Linked DNA regions of Coturnix japonica. The protein of the gene in region 1 purifies or fractionates together with the protein of each later gene. This does not show direct contact. Links are inferred from orthologs where the notes say so. Each region holds a gene or a part of one and is shown on either strand. Other genes may lie near its edges.

Region 1 (5,883 bases):
TGATGAGAACGATGGAGTTCTGGAACATTGAGTTAAAACAAGGTCTTATTAGATGCAGGGCATGAGTCTGGCTCCTGCTATGACTGCCAGACTTGCAATTTACTCTTTTCTCAAATACAAGCAGATTGTTATACTCTCTTAAAAAGTAAAAGACACTCCTCAAAAGTACACCAAAACACACAATTCTCAGCTTCACAAGATATTACAGTATAATGCAGTCATCTCTCCATCCTAACTTCAAAACCAGGCTGAAGTCTGGATTTGCATCTAAATAAGACCAAAGACAGGCCTGGCTGACAGGCCCTTTGCTCACCCTTTGCTGTCCACTGGATGAGAACCCATAATCAGCGGCGCAATGGGAAGTTTGTACATCGCCATGGTTCCCTCAACTGTCACTGACACGTTCATACCCAAAGATCGAGGAACTGCAAGACAAGGCAAGAAACAAAGAACAAGGTAAGCTGATGAATAAAAACCAAAGCTTTACAAATTATCCCAAGTGGAAATACATCAGTTTCTCCATGTAGCAGAGTAGTCCGCAGTGGCTTTCACAAGTGACCTACCATTGCTCTCGTGCAAAATAACAGGGGCTCCAGTGCCATCTTCAAATAAGTCATAGGGAGAGACGTAATACTTGAGATTCATAAGGAGACCTGAAGGAGAGAGGCTTATGAACAAGCATCTGGATGATGTAATTGAACCCAATCGTTATTAACCCCTGTAAGCACATAACATATGCACTGTAACTCTGCACAGAGCTTCTACAGCACCTTGAAAGAGCTGTCAAAGACTGGACATGGCCAACTGGCACAGTATTGCTATGCATGGCTTTGTAAAGGAGAACCAGCTTTCTAGATCATGTGGGACTTACAAATCTTCCACCACCCTGTCCCTCTATGATTAGCATTTTTCATTATTATCATTGGTTAATATCGATAAAGGGGACCCTGGACAAAATCATCTTTTCCTTTCTTTCTTAAGTGTTAACCAAAGATACCTCCGCTCCTGGGGGTGAGATAGCCAACACTGCCATGAAGAATCTTGTCCAGTGGGTTTGCATTGGTGGCTTGCCTGCAAGAGAGGCCATCACCAGTTTGTAATGAGCCAAAACCACATCTGAAGCCACAACTCATGTGCTGATGGAAGTCTGAAGATCTCCTCTTACCGCTCTCCTCTGCTAGCACAGCCTTTCTTAGACTTCAGACTTGTACTTTTTAGCAACAGTGTAATACAATACAGTGCCAATACATAGGCACTGGTACAATACTTCATGGATATACAGTGCTTGGCATGATTAACAACCAGGCAACGTGATACAGCAACTCAACCACCACAAAGCAAGCAGCAAATGGTAACAATGTGCTTACCAATACATCCCTGCCATTTTTGAGAGATCCAGCTCCAAGGACTGAAGGGCCAAGTACATTTTAGTTTTGAGTTTGCTGGGAATAAGGAAAAAAAAGGAAGAAACCATAAGAAAAATTAAAAGGCTTGAAGTCTTGTTCGCTTTCATACACGCAGTTGTAAATACATTGCATATTCTAGACTTACTTGTCTCCTGGCAACTTATAGAGGTTCACAAGCCCCCGCAGATGCTTAGAAAACTCATCAAAATTTTTCTCTCTGAAAGTAAAAGAGAGAAATGTATTCAGATCTGTTGTAGATAAGGCTTTGTTTTTAGAGGTTACACTAATACAAACACTAAATCACTTCAGAATAGGTTTTTGCTATATGAAAGCTAAACAATGCGTTCTTTAAATGATCCAGCTTTAATGATTCTGGTGAACGCTTTGCTGTGCCTTCCAAGATAACATGCACAGCAGTTAGGGTGAGAAACATCTGAAGCAAAGCCAGAAGATCTCCTGGAGAAGGGGAGAGACTTCATGGGGAAAGAGCAGTTCAGAAACGTTCTGTGTTTCCAAGCATAAAACAGAATCAGACCAAAATCAGAATGATGCAACAGCTCTTGTTGCTCACCTCAGATGTTGCACCAATTCTGGACAGCTCTGAAAAGGAAAGAACACACAGCAAAATCAACATCAAATGCTTCAGTGTAAGTCTTTGTGCAGCACAGCAGCTGTAAAATATCAGGACAGTGAAGTCTGTGAGCATCAGTTTTGATGAGAAGCAACAAAACACTCACAAATACAAGATTAATTTCCCTATTCTTCCCCCAGAAATGAAACTTTCAGAAGCAGCAGAACAAGCAGATATAACATTAGGTTTGGGGGAATGTTCAGTACAATCCATTTTCTCTGCACAAGAAAAAGGGAAGCAAAACTGCAGTTCCAAAAACAAAGGTATTTTTCTTGTATTTCTTAGCAATACGTACCACAGGATTCTCTCCATGGTGAGCCACCTTGACATCACATAGCAGCCCTGTAGGATCTAACTGGACTTCCACATAGAACATGTCTGAAGTGATGTAACATTCGGTGCCATTTGCACTGAGGTGTGATCCAAGGCTTAAATACAAAACAAAGCAAAAATTACTAAGAGATACACACAAGAAACAGTCAAACCAGCAGCAAAATTATGATGTATACAGATAAGTAGGAGATACAAAACTGCTGTGAAACAAAGGAGAAGATGTACCCATTTTGTCTGGCTATGGACTCCAGGCGATCTGTCATGGCAGGCAGAGAAGACACTAGACAAAGAAAGCAAAAATAAGCCTTAGTGATACGACTGAACATCTTTCCAGTAATGATGTATCAGCATTAAAAGCAATCCCAACTACTTACTCACACCCACTCCATACTCAAAAAACAAGAATCGTTTTGCATAGAGAAAAACAAACATTCTCAGTGTGGATTTTCATCCACAAGTGGAATCCATGTATGGGCAATAAGAATAAAAGCAACACAGGCAATTTTGGCTGATAATGACTCACAAGAAATAAGCATGCTTCTATAAGCACCACGAGCACACTGAGCTTTGCAAGCAATAACCTCGCAGGTTCCTCTAATACAGAGTATTTCCATAGTATATCACTGTTAAGCATTTCCTGAGTGCAGGCACAGCACGTACCAACCTTTTAATGCTTTTTGCAAGGTCTCCAAACAGCTCACCAGATGTTGGTGCCCCCCAGAGTTCATCACAAGTCGTTTTTCCTACGTCAGAAAGAAGAAAAACAGTCGTTTTAAAGTTTCACTCCATGAGAGGAAAATTACTGCAATTTTCATTCAGTCGAGTGAGGTTTATTCAGGTAATTAAAGGCAGATTGGATTTCATCCCCAAATTACACCCTCATTGCGATTCCTGTACCAGAATCATATCCATATTTGCAGTGGGTAAAACAGGCAGGTCTGGAATTGATTATTAAGCTTGCTCTTGTGAAAGATCAGACTGCAACAACTTCTTAAATAGCATAAGCTACGAGTTATATGAGAGGAGCAAGAGAAACAAAGAGAGATTAACTTTAACACCACAACACATACAGCAGCTTTTGATGATGCTCTTCCCTGCCTCCCACTCCTTTCTACCCTCACCAAGGTATTTCAAAGCTGCATCTGACTGAGATAACACTGAGTGTTGAGCATCACTGTAAAGGAAACCCCAGCACTTCTCACCATGACTTGACGGACCAGCTTCATGGTTTCAGTCCAAGGTCTGTTTTGGTTGTACTTTGCATGAAGTCTTTCTAAGAGAGCACTCATCTTATTCAGCTTCTCTGCCTCTGTCAGACAAAGCGGAATGAAAACATAGAAACAAAAGAGAACGTGAGCTGATTGCACAGCCCTTCCAAGCCGGGACACACTCAGCCTTTATAAATGTGTGCTGAATCCAATCTATACATTGTGGGGCTCTAAAACTCATTGTAGCACTTTATTAAGTTACATTGTTATGGAAGGCATCTCCCTGATACCAGGTATTTCTGGCTCCAACACAAGTCTATGGCAACATAACTGCCATAGAACATGACCCTACAAGGCCTATAGAATCAGAAGGGTTTATAAACTGATACACACAGATGTCATGGACTTAATGCCAACCCCATCAAATCAAAGCAGAACAAACAACCGAACGGTTCGCTACCACAGGAGCCCATCAGCCTTTATTTCCATCCACCACAGCCCCGCTCTGGAGCTGCTTAATGCCCAGCTTTGAGACCCATTGAGACCCATGGGGACCCCATTGAAGCCCATTCAGACCCATAGAAACCCACTGGGACCCATAGGGATCCATAGAGACCCAAAGTGGGGAGGGGACCCGACGACCCACACATGGTGAGTATGGACCCATAGGGACACATAGAGACCCCATAGAGACCCATAGGGACCCATAGAGATCCCATAGAGACCCATAGGGACCCATAGAGACCCATAGGGACCCATAGAGACCCCATAGGGACCCATAGGGACCCATAGGGACCCATAGAGACCCCATAGAGACCCACTGGGACCCCACGGCCGGGCTCCGCCGTTCCCTGCAGGCCCAACCGCCGTCCCTCGAGCTGTGGAACCCCCCCCATCCCGAGGAGGCCGGGCCTTCCCTCCGCCTCCACACAGCGCAGCCCCGCTAGGCCGCACTCACCCTCAGCGCCTCCCGGCACCGCCTTCATGCCTCAGGGAGGGGAGGGGCGGCCCGCGGCGGAGCCACAGGGCCGGTATCACGTCGATAAACGGGAAGGGATGGGGATAAACCGCGGCCGGGCCGCTCCGCTCCGGCCTCACACGGCGGCGCCCGCCGCCATCCCTCCGGCCGCGGCTCCCGCTTCTCGCGAGAACTTCTGAGTCTCGCGAGAGGTAGGGAGTCATGGTGAGAAGGGGGAGTGATTAGGGGGCGGGGCGTTGCGCTCAAGCCCCGCCCCCTGGATGCTGATTGGTGCTGAGCGGGCGGAAGGGGCGGGGCTTCGTGCGCTCCCCGGGACGGAGTAAAGTTCGTTCTCAGACCTCGCGAGAAGACGGTGCGCGCGCGCGCACTCCCTTCCGCCTTCCCAATTCTCAGCGCTTGAAATCTCGCGGGGGGAGGGCTCAGGCCGAGTCTCGCGAGAAGCAGCAGTTATCTCGCGAGACTTGGCGGGTGCCCCCCTTGGGCCGAGGAGCCGTTTCGCTTTGGGAAGTGAGCGGGGGGCGCTGGGCCGGGCCGGGGCGGCGGGGACCGAACGGGGCCGCACGGTGGGAACCCGGTACTGAGGGTTGGGACAGGGCGGGAGGGAACCGGACACAACGGGACCGGGAGGGATCGTGGGCCCAGCTCCCGCCTTCCCGGGGCTCCCCCCGCGGCGGCGCTGCCCTCCGGGCCTGGGCCCCTCGGATGAGGCGCTGAGGCCCGGTGTCCTTCCCCGCCGCTCCCGGTTCCGTTCCTTTCCCATTCTCCCTCTCCCCGTTGTTCCCTTCCTCCTCGCTCTCTCCGTCCCGCTCCCCATGCAGCAGGAGGTGCCGGGGGGCGGTGAATGGTTCGAATAGAGGGAGGCTGAGGGAGTTGGAAAGTCGAGGAGGATTTGGAGGAGCGCCCCCGCCTCCCCCTGTCCCAGCACAGTGGAGGAGGAGGAATGCCAAACCAAGAGAGACATGGGGGGAAGAAGGATGGGGGCGGCGGGGGGACCTCGCTGCACTCATCGGGCAGCTCCAATAGCAAGGAGAGGCACCGGGTGGCTTCAAGGCATAAGAGGCATAAATCCCGGCACTCCAAGGAGTCACCGTTGGCCGCCCAAGAGACGGCGGCGCCTCTGGGAGCTGTGATCAAACCGTTGGTGGAATACGATGATATCAGTTCGGATTCGGATACGTTCTCGGATGATTTGGCCCTTAAGTTGGACAGGAGGGAGAATGAGGAGAGGAAAGCGGATAGGAGCGAAAGGACGCAGAAACATCGACACCACCAGCACAAACGTATCCGTGAGCTGATGAAGAGCAAACAGGCAGAGAAAGAGAGGAA
Region 2 (8,102 bases), on another chromosome or scaffold:
GGAGAAGGGCCATGCTGGGTGCCATGGCTGATGGGGCTGCACGTTTCCTGGCTCTGTGTCCCTGCACAGCTGTGCAAGCAGCTCTCTGTGCTCCTTTTGCCCGCACATTGGCCTGGAAACTTCCCCCGAGGTGGATTGTGGCCCAGGCAGGTCCCCGCGTTTACTCAGCATGGGGTGGCATCAGCGAACATCATGCGATCGCTGGACACTCCCCATGCCCTTGAATCATCCCTCTTCTCCCCCCACGAGGCTCACTGTAATGAAGCATTGGCCTTCATGGCCAGGCCAATGCCCTACAGCTTTGACATCCAGCCCAGAGCCACTGTGAGCTCAGCCCACACTTCTGTGCCACCTCTCGTCCCTGCAGGCTGGGCTCCCTGGGAGAGGTGGCCACTCTCCTCAAGGACAGCAACTCTGATGTGTCACCCGATGGCTCTATACCCTGTGATGGGGCACACGGGTTCCCCTGCAGCTGGTCACCCTGATAAAGTGAGGTGAGCTCTGGGAAGCACCAGAGTTCTTTGGATGTGTCTGGGTGATGCTCAGCTTATGGATCCTCCCATTTCTATCCACACACCACAGAGAACTGGGGACACCAGAGCCCTGAAACAGATCCTCAATGACACCAGAATTCAAGACAGGTCAGATCCGAAGGCCAAACTTCCATCTGGTCACATATAGGGGGATGCTGGTTAGGAATCTCAGCAGTTGCAGGCTCACCTCTGAGGACAAAAGGACAGAGTCCCTGTGCTGCTGACCACAGCCCCAGGCTGGTTGCCCAGAGGAGCTGTTACTTCTTGTTCCTATCGCCCCATGCCAGGTGGCCACAACCCCAACACCATCTCTCTCATTCAGCAGTACAGACTTATCCCACTGCAGCAGCTCAGCAAGCCTAAGATAGAAAATTCAAGCTGACAATGAGCTATCGGGGCAGGACAAAGAGATAAAGTTCAACCTGATGATAGCCACACAATAAAAAATGATAACAGAGCTGGTGGCAATGGCACAGGCAGCTCCAGATAGCCTGGCAGAGAGAAGCAGAGCCTGGTGACATGCCAGATCATCCATACAGAAATGTCAGGTCATTGTAAGGGAACATTGGTGAGATGCAGAGCTGTGTGGTGCTCAATTAGATAACTGCTGGTAGCCCCCCTCCTGAAATTATCTTTGGAAGCAGACGTGAGAAGTAATTTGTATAGAAAGACAGGGGGAAAAAGGAGGTGATGACTGGTACTGTAAGGAAACAGGCAATAAGGGGTATTGGATACACTTTATTTGATCAGTCGTTTTTTAGGATAACGGATTAACCAAATGGTAGGGCAAGCAATAAAGTGTATGGGATGGCTTTAAGACATGGAAGGTCTGGAGACCTCCACGAGAGAGCAGCAAGAGAGCCAGACACAGCCCTCCCATCTGAGATGGAGACCTGCAGAGTGCAGAGATCATATTGAGTATGTTGTCTTCCCATTAGGAACTTCATCACAAGATGTAAGCCAGGTCACCATCTCACAGGGATAAAGGCCTCACAGCTTGGAGCACTGTAAGGGCAGCTGAAGATTAGGGCAGTGCTCCTTGGCCCAAAAAACCTCTTCTTCCTTCCCAGGCCTGTCAGCTGGGTCTTTACCCTCCCTGAAGTCTTCACCGAGGCTATGGACACACCAGTCATGGTACAGACAACAGGCAGACATTCAAACAGTAACTGTGCACTCTGGTCCCATCAATTCACTGGTGTCTTCAGTGATGGAGGAGCCAGTGGCACCATTTCCTCACTGCAAAACATGAACATGCCTAACCAGCCCTGAAGGATGGAGATGGGTCACCTGAAGGAGCTGTTCTCATGAGGAAGGGAAGGTGTGAGGCAGACAGGGCTGAACACCACTGAGACAAAGCTGTAGATTCCAATTGCTGTGGGAACACGTGAACCAAAATGGGAACGGAATGGTACAAAGAAATTCTGATTGACAGTGCTGTAGTTCTGCCTGAATGGTATCTGCATGTTGTCACCTACTCTAATGACTGCCTGACTCACCCATGAGAGGCAGGCATCCAGCAGCCTAGCAATTAGCCACACTCCTTGATAAAGTCTAGGGGAGAGTTAAAACCAGCACAGCACAGAATAAAATGACCCCTGAGGAGCCTGAATCAAGTCTTGCTTTAGAAACAGCCCATAAAACGACGTGCAGAAATGAACCTCTCTGCTCAGCCCCACACAAAGGCATTAGCATCCTGTACCTCCTGCTTGGTTCAGTCAAGGGCCATGAATCCCACCAGCCTTCCCGCAGGGATCTGCTCAGCAGGTCCTGGGCACCCCTGGGCTCTCCTGCACATTCCAGAACTGGTGACCAAGCCGGGATCTATTCTTGACAGTAGAACAATGTGAACAATTGCATCTGCTATATTTAGAGCGAGCAGTCAATAATACATACGCACAAACGGTTACCAGCGTTCTCATTTGATACATAAATAGTTCGCTTTTCAAAAGAAATTGTTTTTTAAAATGAAAATTACCTTTCCCGTCATCCCTGGGCTATAACTAACTGATGAACCCGGGAGCTGAATTCAAATAAAAAACAAAATTATCTGTGCTCTCTAAGCCAATCCAGGAAGGATAACTCACGACTGTGGCTGCTGTTATCAGTGCTACAATAGTGTGTATTGACAGAGCGGTTTAAACGCGGCAGCAGCAGTTTGCTGAAGCACACTCCTGATGGTGCACAGGGGCAGCACTGCTCACCCTCACCTTCCATGCAGCGTGTTCTCCATCACCCCCTTGCACTCACAGCCCAGGCACCCAAGAACCCCACCTCTCCCCTCCTTGCAGCTTCATGGATGTCTCAGCCCTGCTGCTGGATTTTTGCCTCCATTCCTTCAGGTTTCTCCAGTTCCAAGCCCTGAAAGCCCTTCTCTTCTCCAGGCTGAACTCCCTCAGCCTGCCTTTATATGGGAGAGGTGCTCCAGCCCTCACAGCATCTCCATGGCCCTCCTCTCCAACGAGGACAGCCAGGAACAGTTGGGCTGCACACAGGTCAGGGATGCTGTAGGTCACACTGTGGGGTGCTCAGTGTGGGTGTGCAGGGCACTGCCTTGGGAGCACAGGCCCGGCTCAGCTGGGGAACACCTCAGCAGCAGTGCAGTCCCATATCTGAGACCCAGTCCCAAAGCTTGACCCCGGGCTCAGCCCCCACACCCACCCTCACAGCCCAGGACCCAGGGAGGCCTCCGAGCCCCGCTCCGGCCCAGGCCTCAGCCCCAGGCCACGGCCCGCAGCATCCCCACACCCCAACCTCCTGCCCAGGCCCAAACTGAGCCCCACACACAAGCAGCATCTGATGCTCAGCCCAGGCCGCCGCCGGGGCGGTACAGAGCGGCCGAGCTCCGCCCCGCTCCGTCACTGCTCGGCGCCGGGGGCCGCCATGGCCTCGGTGGTGTCCGCAGGCCGAGGGGCCGCCGAGGAGCCGCCGCCGGCCGAGCCGCCCACCGAGCAGAAACCGCCGCCCGCCCCGCCGGCAGCAGCGCAGGAGGAGTTCTCCTTCCTGCCGCTCGTCCACGACATCATCAAATGGTAACGGCGGCCGCACAGCGCCGGGCCGGCCTCACCACGGCATCACCCCGCAGGGATGCTCCCTCTGCCCTTTCTCTCCCCGCTGGGGTCTATGGGGGGGTTGGCAGCTGCTCTGCTCTGAGCCGGGCCCGTAGTTGGGGTCACCGAGGTGGGGCAGGGCCGGGTGTGCAGCAGCAGGAGCCGTGCCGAGCTGTTATTGCCCCGTATTGCTGCTCTGATGGGCTGATAAGTAAAGGACGGGCAGTCCCAGGGCAGCACTGTCTGTTTCTGGGCGTTGGGAGAAAGAGGAAGGCTTGTGCAGGCTGAGTCATCCTCTTTCCTGTTCAAAATCAATGCTGTGGGGTTAAAGGTGTTCGTACGAGGGTCCTGACAACCAGCGTTTGTGGCCCAGGGTAACCCTGTCAGAAATGTTTGAGTTCCCGGTAGGGGCATCGCCCTGCTGTGACCTGGGCACGTTGCACAGTGATGCAGAGGGCACAGGAAGCGTGAATTCCCACTCCTTGTTGTGGGTCTGACTGCCCTTTCCCTGCACGCTTCTATGGGAGCTGAGGCTGCTTTGTTTCCTGCTGGGGTTCTGTGTGTCTGAGTACCCAGAAGAGGTTCACCCTTATTAACCATGCAGCTGGAGGAGCATGGCAAGGAAAGGCCGAATACCCCACAGACACGGCAGCCTAGAATCTAGCTCTCCTAGATTCAGGAGAGCTATGAGAACTCAAACCCACCCTCCATTTCCCCCCTGCGCTGCCACTGTCCCTGTGCTCAACCCTGCCTGATCCATCCAGAGGTGATGCTGAACCTGCTGCCATCTGTATATGTGTGCAGAGCCAGAGTGAGCCAGATCCACGGGCTGAGACCTCCCAGCCTCCTGTGTGTCACCAAGCAAGTCGTGGCGACCCACAATGACAGTGCTGGGATATCCTGTGCCCTGTCCCTCTGAGCCACCCACTCCCACTGCCCCGCTCCCCCCCAGGTTGGCACACAGCATTTCCTGCACGGGGTGAGCAGACGTAGGTGCTCAGAGCAGCACTGCAGAGGGGTCAGACGGCAGAGCCGAGCAGTGGGATGAGTTGCCTCATGTCCCTGACAGATGGCAAACGTATTATCCTTTAACGCCGCCGCCAGGCTCACAGCCCGGCCCTGCTGTTCTGACACTGACTCAGCCCTGAAGACATTTCACATCTCCAAGGTGACTGTGCTGGGGTGCAGTGATGTATCGCGTACATTTGCTTACATTCAAGGACACGTGTTCCTTCCTGTTGTTTGAGTCCCAAGAAAGTTCTCCCAGGCAGGGCTTGCTGTTACTTTCACCCTTGTATAATCAGATGAGGTTACCTGTGAGGTCCCTGTGCGTGGTGGGTTGTGCTGGTGTATCCAGGAGCTGCAGGTGGGACATGATGGAGTTATGATTTGTTCACAGCAGTGAAGGAGAGCTGGTGGGCAGCTGGGGAGGGTCTGAAGATCTCAGTCCTTGAAGGGAGATCCCAAGCACTGTGAGGCTGTGGCTGGACATTGCATTTAATCCTGTGTAACTGCAGGTAGCTGAACCTCTTCCCACTCTTGCTCTCCCCCCTGCCTTTCCATGCCTGCAGAGGAGCTGCTTCAATTACTTGAAAACTCCCATCAGAAACAAAACAACAACAAGCCTGAAAATAGTTATTCCTTCAAACCAACCAACCAACCAGGCAACCATCCATTCTTTGGATGTGGAGAAGAGAACGAGCTGTGGAAGGACCTGGTCGGCCCTTTGAATCCAGCATGCAGCTCGTGTGGATTAAAGGCAATGCCAACCCATCCTTCCCAGATGTGCAATGTGTGTGTGCCTGTATTTTTCCACTGTCAACTTGACCGTAAACGCCTGCATAATGGGGGTACATTATAGTACCAGCTGCGGTTTTATTTAGAAGGGAGTCATGAATATTTTGTTCCAACAGGCTGTTGAAATGAACGGGACCATCTGGTTAAAAGTTTTGCTCTCAGTCGTGTCACGATTCCCCAAAGTTCTAATCAGGCACCTCTCTGCCCTGGTCATGCCAAGCAGTTTTATTTTGGGCCTGGCTATTGAACAGGCTCCCAGCTTACAGGGGCCGTTAGCAGCCTGCTCTCGTTATTAGCGCTGCCTTGGAAGCAGTCTCGCCTTTGCCTGGAATGGTAAAACTCCTTGCTGTAGCTAACAAAGCTGAAGCAGATACTAATGAGGGTTTGAGGGCAGACGCTGCCTCAGACGACGCTGATCCTCGAGAAGCACGGAGCTGCAGAAGCAATTGTGCTGCTCTTAAAAAATAAGCTGTCGCTTCTCTTTATTAGGTAGACATCCCCGGAGAGTCGTTCTGAAGCTCCGAAATGCCGTTTTCTCTGCCATTGGACACACTCTGGTACTTTGGGGAACGATTCCTATTTTCTGCTGTCAAGCTGTTTGACTGCATCGATTTCTTGTATTGCTTTGACAACAGGTCACAGACGGGGCTGAGGTCTTTTTTCCCAGGTGCCCACACACAACCTGTGTGTGTGTAATCTTACCTTCCCCATATGGGAATTGAAACAGAGTGAGAGGCTGTGGTAGTGTTTGAAAGCTGCAGACCAGGTCTTAACCTGTAGGACTGCAATTAAGGTTACTGGATGGTGTGCTGAAAATGACCAGGAAACCAGTTTGTCCCAGCAGCTGCCTAATCTGTGTATGTGTCTCTGGTGGTTTTGTTGTGATAGGTGTGAATTAGATCCCAGGAGCAAAAGTTTCCCAGTGAATTCCAGCGTAAGCCCTGACCATGCTGGGAATGACAGTCCACCAGCAGGCAGAAGGTCTGTCCAGCAGGAGATGTGAGTCATGCCTCTTGTTTTCTCCCTTCTGCAGCATGGACAAGGATAGCCAGGATGTTCACCAGGTGCTGAACGAGCTCAAGAACAAGTTCCAGGAGATGAGGAAGCTGATCAGCGCCATGCCTGGCATCGGTGTGAGCCCAGAGCAGCAGCAGCAGCAGCTGCAGAGCCTGCGGGAGCAGGTCCGGACCAAGAACGAACTGCTGCAGAAGTACAAGAGCCTCTGCATGTTCGAAATCCCTAAGGAATAGGAAGGGAGCAGCTCTGCAGTCTGAGGCTGGGATGCCTCTTCTCCTGGCTGGAAAGGAGAGGTTTACTTTGTGGGGCTTTTTTTTGTCACGTTCCTGTGACGTTGTGGCTGTGTGGGTCACAGGCATGTGACACTGAACCAGAACCGTTCGTGTGTCCTTCACATGCGATGGTTACAGCAGTGCCTTTGCTTTGATCTGCTGTAGGACTGCGTGCATTTATACATGCAGCTCTTGGGGTTGGCTGTATTTTTTTCATTCAAGCAAGCAGAACACAGTAGGTTTTCTCAAAAGAGAAGGTGGCAGTGCCTGCTGGTTCAGTTCAACAGGGAAAAAAAGGAGGCATTTTCTATATTTTTTCTTTCTCAATCCTGAAATGACAAACATTGAAAGGGAGCAAAGGGAAGCAGAGCTGTTCGGCCTGGAAAGCCTGTTTGTTGGGAAGGGTCTCTGGGGTGCTTTGCAGCCAGTGTGTTGGAAGAGGAACGGTTGCTTTCTGTTGCTTTTGTGTTTTTCTCTCTGTTTTTAAACTGGTCGTTGTGCTTGAGATGAGTCAAGTAAAGGTTAGAAACTCCAAACTGCCCCTCTTGTGTATTCACTGAGTGCACGTGGGCTGAGCGGGGCTGGGATGTGGCAGCCTGGGCTCTGCTCCTCTCTCTTAGCATTGCTTTTTGTTACCGGAGAGCAAAGCAGAGCCTGCCAGGGGAGTGGATTTCAGTGGGCTTTGGTTACGTTGGGCTCCCACACCAACTCGGTGAGCAACACACCGGGCATCCCACTCTTACAACAGAAAAAGTAGGATTAAAACAAAAGGCATAACTGACAGCAGCTTTAGTTATTCCCTAAGCGACACGAGTCAGGCTCAGCAGGACGGATCAGTTCTGTGTCTGAAATGCTCCAGGGGCTTCCCACAAACACCAGCACTGAACGTTCGTCAGACGCTGATGGAAAGCTCTCGAATGTTGTGTTGCATTCAGATGGGGCTCAGAACTCCTTGTCCTCTGTCCTCCTGCTGGGAGCTGCTGGGTGTCGGATGACAACCTGGTGAGCATCTCACCCACTAACAGGTACGTGACAAGCCCTGGGATCTCACCGTGCTGAGTTAACGCTGAAAGGTGGAGCAGCTCAGGAGTGGGAGAGGTGCAAAACGGAGTGGAGAAATACAGCGTCGGATGGGAGCCTGCGTCTGAGAGCAGGTAGCATTCAGATGATGGGAACGGGGTCTGTCTGGGTAGGATTTGGCTTCCCAAAGCCAAGAGGCAAGTAATTACAATTAACGTATTTAATATTGCAGGGAGCTGGGGTGGTTGCAGCTCACTCAGAGATCGCCCTGTCCCCACTGAGCGCTTTGCTAGTGATTTCTTTGGGAAGGTGCCCATGTGTAAACTGGGAGCAAAGCAGAACACCAAGTTAAACAAAGCACAATGTACACTTCTTTATTACCTTCCTGCCAGCCATTCCCCATCCCAGCTCAGTAC
Region 3 (7,487 bases), on another chromosome or scaffold:
GTCAGGTACCTCGGTGTGGAAGGATAATGCAGAGGAAGTAAATGGGGTGTAACTGCATCTACTGTAGATTCTGGAGGGCTGCACTCAATGGAGTTTCCTTCTAGACTCACTGAGCTAAAAAGATGAGATATGGAGTCATGTCTGAGCAGAGCTGGAAAAAAAAGACAGACCCAACACAGCAGACTTTGCTTAGCAGTGCTGAAATGGAAGGGAAAGAATCCTTTGCTGTTGGAGGGCTGCTAAAAGCCCTTTGCAGAGGATTGGGTCCCACAATTTGGAGGCTCTGTAAGGCCTAGAGTGGGTCTTTCTGAACAGCTCTGCTTGTTGCAGTTTTGGAACATGTGTAGGACTGGGAATCCCCCTGAAATTTCCAATTATCCTGAATTAAGGTAAAAGAAGCTGAAGTAGTTGCTGCTGCTGTCAGATCCCATGTCTTGAAAGCCACTTTCTAGATGGACTGCCTTCCCCAGCTGTTCTGAAGCACTTCTCAGCACCTTTACATCATCTTCTGTTTTCTTCCCTAGTTTCCAAGAGCTCCAAACCAGGATGCATTTACTTATGGAGCTGGAGTTGTTCTTTTGACACGAAGAGGAAAGGAAGCCAGCGAACAGTGCCTGCAGTTATTCTAGCTGAACTGGAGTGGTCCACAACAGACTTGTCTTATCTCACACTCAGCACCTGCCCAGGTAGGCAGCACCCTTCTTCAGCACTCCCAAGTAACAAGGCTGCACCAGAGGCTGCCATACTGCTCAAGGTTTACTTGTTTACAGTTGCAAATGCCTCCCACTTGCTGGAGGAGCCTGTTGTTTAAAGCAGAGGAGTGGATTTAATGCCCAGGCTAAGAGAGCACAGCTGGCCTGCCACTGTGAGCAACAGGAATCCTTAACTTGCAGCACTGCAATCCCAGCACAGTGCAGCTAATGGGCACCTGCTGCATATAAATACTTGAGGCTGTTCCTTGGCTTTTAAAGGCAGAGGTGTTTTACCTCGCTGTGATACACCTGTCACAATGCAGTGTAAGGCTAATGAGGAGTAAAGAAACCTGATCTGAGCATTGCTTTTCAAATCTATGGAGTCCGAATGGGGGTTCCAGAGCTGGGTAGTTTAGTGGGGTGGGTTTTTCTTTGGTGCCAGAAAGATAATTCTGATGGAATGTAACATCCTCCATTGAGAGGGTAAAGCGCTGCCTGGAGCTCAGCTTTATAATAGAATGGACCCTCAGCTCCACTCTAATTTCCCTGCTTCTTCTTTTAATCTTACAGCAAAACTGCATGTGTTCTGCGGTGATGAGAAGGGAAGTGTGTGGATTTACCACCTCTCCGACTACACCACAGCATGGAGCTCTGCCAAGGGAAAACACTCAGACAAGAGAATCCCGCCCACACAGGTAGGTCTCATTTACCCTCTGTGTCAGAGCTGTGCTTCCCTTCCTCCCCAGGGCAGCTCTCTTGAGTTTCACACCAGAACATGCCTCGTATCTTCTCTACCTAACATTCACAGCCAATTAAAACCAATCTCCAGAGTGTGACCAAGGTCACTTCCAATCACACACACAATTATGACAGGGATTATGAGCTGCAAAGCAAATTTGTTCACTCCTGTGTGCTGCAGCTTGTCAACTTTTCCTTGGGTAAAGGCCTCTCTGTAAAAAATATGATTGTTTGACTATATATGGCCTGGCAACACAAGCTGTTCCTGCGCTGCTGTCTGGTGTGCAGCCACTGTTTCCCTGTCTGGATGAGTGGAGGTAACAGCAGCAGCTGCTCCTTGGTAGAACTGCATGTGGGGAAGGGGAAGCTTCTGGCCTGTGTTCCTGCTTCTCTTTTGCTCATTCTTTTCCTGAGCACACTCCTGCTGTGGGTCAGTAGTGTGCCCTAACAACTACACATTCACAAAGGCTGTGAGGCACGTGTGGTCTTAGCTCTAACTGTATCTGGTAGGGATGTGACCTCTTTGGACCCCACCCAGCTCCAGTTGTCAAACCAGGCTTTGCAATAATTGATATTGCCCAAGTTTCATGGACAATGATACCATTCCTTTCCTACACAAACTCTGTTCTCCCTGTAGATTCTCAAATGGCCGGAGCTTCAAGCAAATGGGGAACACCTGAGCGAAGTCTACATAAACAACGTGATAACAGACCCTACTTTCACTTACCTTGTTGCTCTCACTAGTGTGAACATTACAGCCATTTGGAAGAAGTCATAGTTCCTTGTTATAGAAGTTCATTCCCCGTGTTTTGAAATAGTGCAGTATTAGTGACTGTTACCCATATAACCATAAAGTTTTCTAGACCAGCTGTTACGTGCAAAAGGTAAAAGAGTTCGTTAAGCACATCCAGTCATCCAGGCTTTTTTCCTGTAAGTTTACACAATTTGTGCATTTGTTTTATAGAAATGACACTTAATAAAACAAAACAACAACTCTGCTGGCAGAATCTGAACTTCTTGGAATGGGAAACCAGGGCTGTGACCCGTTATTGCCACTCAGCATCTCCTCATTGCCATAAGGGCAGTGAGACTGAGCTACAGCATAGTGCACATAGTGACAGTGAGGCTCCAGTTAGAAAAGTGAAAACCATTTTAGTGAATTAAGCCATGAAATCAAACAAGACATGTCAGATACAAACATCCCCTCCCAATACTGCTGCCAAAGTCAGTAGGACTGGAAGGAAAGTAATTGGCATTGAATGAAGGTTTAAATAAAGCATTTCACTCAGACACATCGTTCTTCATCAGCAGTGTATCACACTAAGAGCAGGCTGATTTCACTCGATTCCTTCTTGTTTGTCTTTAATGGCAACCTGTAAAGAACAGAAACAGAACCGTCAGTGGATGGTTTAAACACTGATTTCATCAATTTCACATCAAACAACAACTGCATGAGTTCAGGGGAGACCTTATTGCTCTATAACTTCCTGAAGGGAGGTTGTAGTGAGCTGGGGGTTGGCCTCTTCTCTTGTGTTATCAGTGATAGAACTAGAGGGAATGGTTTTAAGCTGCGCCAGGGGAGATTCAGGCTGAACATTAGGAAGTTTTACTTTGCGGAAAGGGTAGTCAGGCATTGGAATGCACTGCCCAGAGAGGTGGTGGAGTCACCGACCATGGGAGTGTTCAAGAAAACGTCTGGATGTTGTGTTGTTGAGTATGATCTAGCCGGGAAGTATTGGGAATGGTTGGACTAGATGATCACAGAATGACCCGGGTTGGAAGGAACCTCAAGGATCATGTAGTTTCAACCCCCCTGCCTGGCAGGGCCACCAAACATACACATTTACTAGATCAGGTTGCCCAGGAGACCCCATAGATTCCCCATAGAGACCCCATAGATCAGGTTGCCCACGGCCCCGTCCAACCTGGCCTTGAACACCTCCAAGGACGGGGCATCCACAACCTCCCTGGGCAGCCTGTTCCAGGGCCTGACCACTCTCCTAGTGAAGAACTTCCCCCTGACATCCAACCTAAATCTTCCCTCTTTTAACTTCAAACCATTTCCCCGTGTCCTGCTATTGTCAGCCCTTTCCAAGAGTTTACTCCCCTCCTGGTTATAGGTTCCCTTCAGGTTCTGAAAGGCTGCAATGAGGTCACCCCGCAACCTTCTCTTCTCCAGGCTGCACAAACCCAACTCCCTCAGCCTGTCCTCATAGGGGAGGTGCTCCAGCCCCCTGATCATCTTCGAGATGGCAGCAGCTCTGGGCTGAGCCCTTCCCTTAGGTTCAAAGGATGGGCTTCTCGCAGTGCTCAGAACTGAGCTCACCCTGAATCTCTCCTCCAGCAGGGACAGCTCGCTGATCAGGTCGGTGATGGCGTTGGTGAAGGCCTCCTGGGGGCTGTAATCCGGGGTCGTTTGGACGCGGATGATGATTTTATGTTCCAGGGGGTGCGGGACCTTGTAACCTGCAAACAGCACCTGGGGGTCCTTCAGCAGCTGCCTGGGGGAGGAGGCAAAGCAGCAGCAAACAAACATACATTAATAGATGTAAGAGCTTTATAAGAGCCCCAGCACTTGTAAGCAGCGCCCAGCTCCCTCAGCTCACGACTTGATGATGTTTCCCAGCGTGTGATCCTCCTTGTTGATGGTGAACAAACAGGCGTTGGGCACCTTGGTGTCCTTGTTGATGGTGATCCTACACAGCACAGGGGGCGGCGATTCACTGCCACAGCCCGGGCGGACATGGGGGGAACCGGGGGGGCACGGGACGGTCCGGGCAGCCCCCAACCCCCCACCGGACCCCCCCCATCCTCCATCCCGCCCCCTACTCACTTTTTCTCCCCTTCGAACAGCAGGAACGACTCAAATGCTGGCGGCGCGTTCATCCCGCCGGCTCCGCACCGCTCCCCGCAGCGCACACAGCGTCACTTCCGCCCACAGCGCCCCCTGCCGTGCGGGCGGACCGTGCGCAGTGCGCTATAAAGGCACGGACACGGAGCGGGTGGAGCTGCGCATTTATTGCCACGCTGCGACCCCCCCCCCCCCCCCCCCCCCAGCCCCATCCCGGCACATCCCGGTCCGTCCGTCACGTCTGCGGCTCCGGCAGCTCCTGCAGGGGGGGCTGGGCCGGGGGCAGCCGGCGGTGACAGCGCTCCAGGTCCTGCAGCGCATCCAGGAGCCGGCGGAGCGCGGGGGTCAGCGGTGGGGCTGGGGGGGGGGGAGAGCGGGGCGGTGAGACCCCCCGGGAATGGGAGCAGCCCCAGAGCACAGCGCCTATGGGGGGGATGGGGAGCTGGGGGTCCTTTCTCTACCTTCTCCGTTCTGAGGGTCCCCCGGCTCCATGAGCTGCCGGCACTTCTCCCTGCGGATAAAGGGGCTGTTGGCCGCGGGGCAGGGGGCGCTTTGGGGGCTGCCCCCGGTTGTGGGTCCCACCTGAGGGGCTGCTGCAGCCCGTGCAGGTGCTGGAAGAGCCGCTGCGCCTCCACGTCGGGCTGCAGCGGGTCGGTCCAGTCCTGCAGGGTGATGCTGTGCCGGGTCCGGCCGCAGCCCGGTCCTATGGGACAGAACAGGGGCTGAAAATAGCGGGGACATCACCACCCCCACCCCCCACCCAGCAGCCCGTACCCGTCCTGTCCTTCTGGTGGCAGCAGCTCCATTTATCCCCCCTGAAGACCCCGGGGTGGTAGGAGCGCAGCAGCTGCGGGTTGTTGCCGCACACCTTCCTCAGCGCAGACAGCCACTGGTTCAGCTCATTGACACACTGCGGGTTAAACAGCGAGGTCACACAGTACCCCAATGGGAAACAGCCCCGTCCCCATCCCAGCCCACCTTGCACTGCAGATACGCCGTCTCCTGCTGCCCGGCCTCATCCACATAGACCACCTGCATGACGTGGCAGCTCCCAAAGCTTTTCTCCTCCACCTTCTCGGCCGCTCGGATGTTGGCCAAAGCGATGGAGCCGCATCTCTGCCATTGGGGACACAGCGCTCGGTGCCCTCCGTGCCACCATGGGATCCCACCACCCCACGTCCCCCTACCTCTGCCCCGGGGCTCTTGCTGAAGCTGAGTGCCTCGCTGGTGAGGCAGAAGTGCAGCTTCTTGGATGCAGAAGCAAGCAGCGGCCCTTTGCCCCGTGTCTTATGGACAAACAGCAGCCCCTCCTTCACCACGTTGCTGCGGGGGGCACAGGGCTGCTCCTCTCCACCCTCCTCCTCCTCCGTGCCCACCAGGCGGGTGATGAAGGCCCTCATCTGGGAGGCTCCGTGCTGCAGGGCGGGCTGCAGCGGGGCCAGCCATTCCTCCTTGGCTCTCCCTGCCGCTGGCTCCATGTTGCCCACCATCTGCACGGCCTGCAGACCACGGCATGGTGGAGTCGTTGCCCCCAGTGCCACCCCGCTGTGCCCATGTCCCAGCTCACCTTGGCCAGCAGCAGCAGCGTGCGGCTGGTACGTGCATCAGCGTGTGTCTCCCTCAGGTGGAAGAGTTTGGGGGTCATGATGGCGGGGGAGAAGAAGCGCAGGCACAAGAAGCTGGTGACAGCCACGAACTGAGTGTGCTGCAGCCACCGGGGGCAAGAGATGTGTGAGGGTCCATCCCCATGGCACCATCCCTCATGATGCTTCAGGGTTGGATGATCCTCACAGCCCACAGAATCACAGAATGACCCAGGTTGGAAGGGACCTCAAGGATCATGTAGTTCCAACCCCCTGCCTGGCAGGGCCACCAAACATACACCTTTACTAGATCAGGTTGCCCATGGTCCTGTCCAACTTGGCCTTGAACACCTCCAAGGACGGGGCATCCACAACCTCCCTGGGCAGCCTGTTCTAGGCCCTAACCACTCTCCTAGTAAAGAACTTCCCCCTAAGCCCACCCAGTTCCAACCCCCTGCCTTGGGCTGGTTGCCCCCCCACCAACTTAAGTCACCCATCATCAAGCCATTGGCCCCATTCCTCCATCCCCACTACTGGGTTTGGAGCTGACCTGATGCTGGGGGAAGCGCTCCCCGACACGCTGGAAGAGCTGCCGGAAAGCAGCACGGATGACAGGAGGGCAGGTAGGAGCCGATTTACTGATGGCATCTAAGAGCTCCCCGAGGTAGGACTGCAGGAGCTGGCGGCCCTGCTCCATCACCTCACTCTCTGTCTGCACCCGGTGCAGCCCCGAGCACCTGCGGGTGCACAGACCCCATCAGTCCCATGGACTCTGAGTACCCCCACCCACTGCAGCCCCTGTGCCCCTTACCCAACGTCCTTGATCTCCACCTTGCTGGGGTCCAGCTCCACGTATTTCTTCTCCTCAAACACCCTGGAGATGGTGGGTCCCAGCACCGCATGCAGGTACTGCATCCCTGTCACCTGCCCAGGGGACCACAGCACCCAACCTTAGGGGGTTTTCTCCAGCTCTTGGCCCCAGAGGCAGACACAGCTCCCCATGTCCTTCCCTTAGGACAGCATGGAGCTGTGGTGAGCTGGAAGGAGCAGGGTTTGGGGTGAAGCTTCCTGCGGACAAGGGGGATTTAGGGGCAACAGCACCTTGAGGAAAGACTCCATTGACTTTGAGGCCAGGGAGTTGCTCCGGAACAAAGTGTTGGGTTCACCTGAGAAACAGGAGGAAGCCAGTGGAGCAGCCCCAGGTACCCACCAGGCATTTCTACCCTACCCTGGAGTTACAGGGATTCTCCAACCAAACACCTGCCCATTCCTCCACCAACTACAGCCAATGATGATGATGAACCCAACGTGTTCCCAACCAGAGCACACCAGAAGTTTTACAGCTCCAAATGAAGGTAAGGAAGACGCAGCCCTGCTCCCAACTCAGGCTTACAGGGCTTGGCCAGCTCCAGCTCAAAGAGCAGGTCCAGAAACTCCTTCACCAGCCCTTGGCCCAAGAAGAGCTTCACCAGGTTGATGGCCACATCCTGCCGGCACTCGGCCGTGGTGGTTTCATCAAGGAGGGTGACCAGGTGAACCCCACCGGCCTGCAGGGACACAGGACATGGTGGCACAGTGGTAATGACTGTGACCGCGTCCCATTGGGGCTCTGCAGTGCCTCAC

Evidence for each region. Proteins that work in one complex are often made in the same cells at the same time.
Region 2: the proteins of MED1 (region 1) and MED9 purify together in Homo sapiens (affinity purification with mass spectrometry; 8 studies listed by BioGRID and IntAct, counting the BioPlex papers as one, with this or other methods). This does not show direct contact. The link is inferred for Coturnix japonica from reciprocal best matches to the Homo sapiens genes MED1 and MED9.
Region 3: the proteins of MED1 (region 1) and DNA-directed RNA polymerase II subunit RPB11-a purify together in Homo sapiens (affinity purification with mass spectrometry; 3 studies listed by BioGRID and IntAct, with this or other methods). This does not show direct contact. The link is inferred for Coturnix japonica from reciprocal best matches to the Homo sapiens genes MED1 and POLR2J.

What each region holds. Positions count from the first base shown.
Region 1 is NC_029542.1:3,840,977-3,846,859, forward strand, and holds the start of MED1 (mediator of RNA polymerase II transcription subunit 1), read right to left. Parts: upstream 4,742-5,883; 5' UTR 4,565-4,741; coding exon 4,537-4,564; intron 3,680-4,536; coding exon 3,573-3,679; intron 3,114-3,572; coding exon 3,035-3,113; intron 2,651-3,034; coding exon 2,596-2,650; intron 2,466-2,595; coding exon 2,333-2,465; intron 2,007-2,332; coding exon 1,978-2,006; intron 1,624-1,977; coding exon 1,552-1,623; intron 1,443-1,551; coding exon 1,368-1,442; intron 1,072-1,367; coding exon 998-1,071; intron 654-997; coding exon 564-653; intron 426-563; coding exon 314-425; intron 20-313; coding exon 1-19. Other genes in the region: CDK12 (cyclin-dependent kinase 12), read left to right, coding at 5,498-5,883. UniProt on the Homo sapiens protein: Component of the Mediator complex, a coactivator involved in the regulated transcription of nearly all RNA polymerase II-dependent genes.
Region 2 is NC_029529.1:4,801,973-4,810,074, forward strand, and holds MED9 (mediator of RNA polymerase II transcription subunit 9), read left to right. Parts: upstream 1-3,378; 5' UTR 3,379-3,413; coding exon 3,414-3,562; intron 3,563-6,410; coding exon 6,411-6,627; 3' UTR 6,628-7,206; downstream 7,207-8,102.
Region 3 is NC_029534.1:3,077,918-3,085,404, forward strand, and holds DNA-directed RNA polymerase II subunit RPB11-a, read right to left. Parts: upstream 4,396-7,487; 5' UTR 4,317-4,395; coding exon 4,264-4,316; intron 4,127-4,263; coding exon 4,037-4,126; intron 3,932-4,036; coding exon 3,757-3,931; intron 2,804-3,756; coding exon 2,768-2,803; 3' UTR 2,425-2,767; downstream 1-2,424. Other genes in the region: LRWD1 (leucine-rich repeat and WD repeat-containing protein 1), read left to right, coding at 525-686, 1,263-1,387, 2,068-2,208; ras GTPase-activating protein 4-like, read right to left, coding at 4,517-4,638, 4,743-4,792, 4,864-4,984, 5,056-5,191, 5,260-5,397, 5,469-5,780, 5,849-5,986, 6,415-6,601 and 3 more. UniProt on the Homo sapiens protein: Core component of RNA polymerase II (Pol II), a DNA-dependent RNA polymerase which synthesizes mRNA precursors and many functional non-coding RNAs using the four ribonucleoside triphosphates as substrates.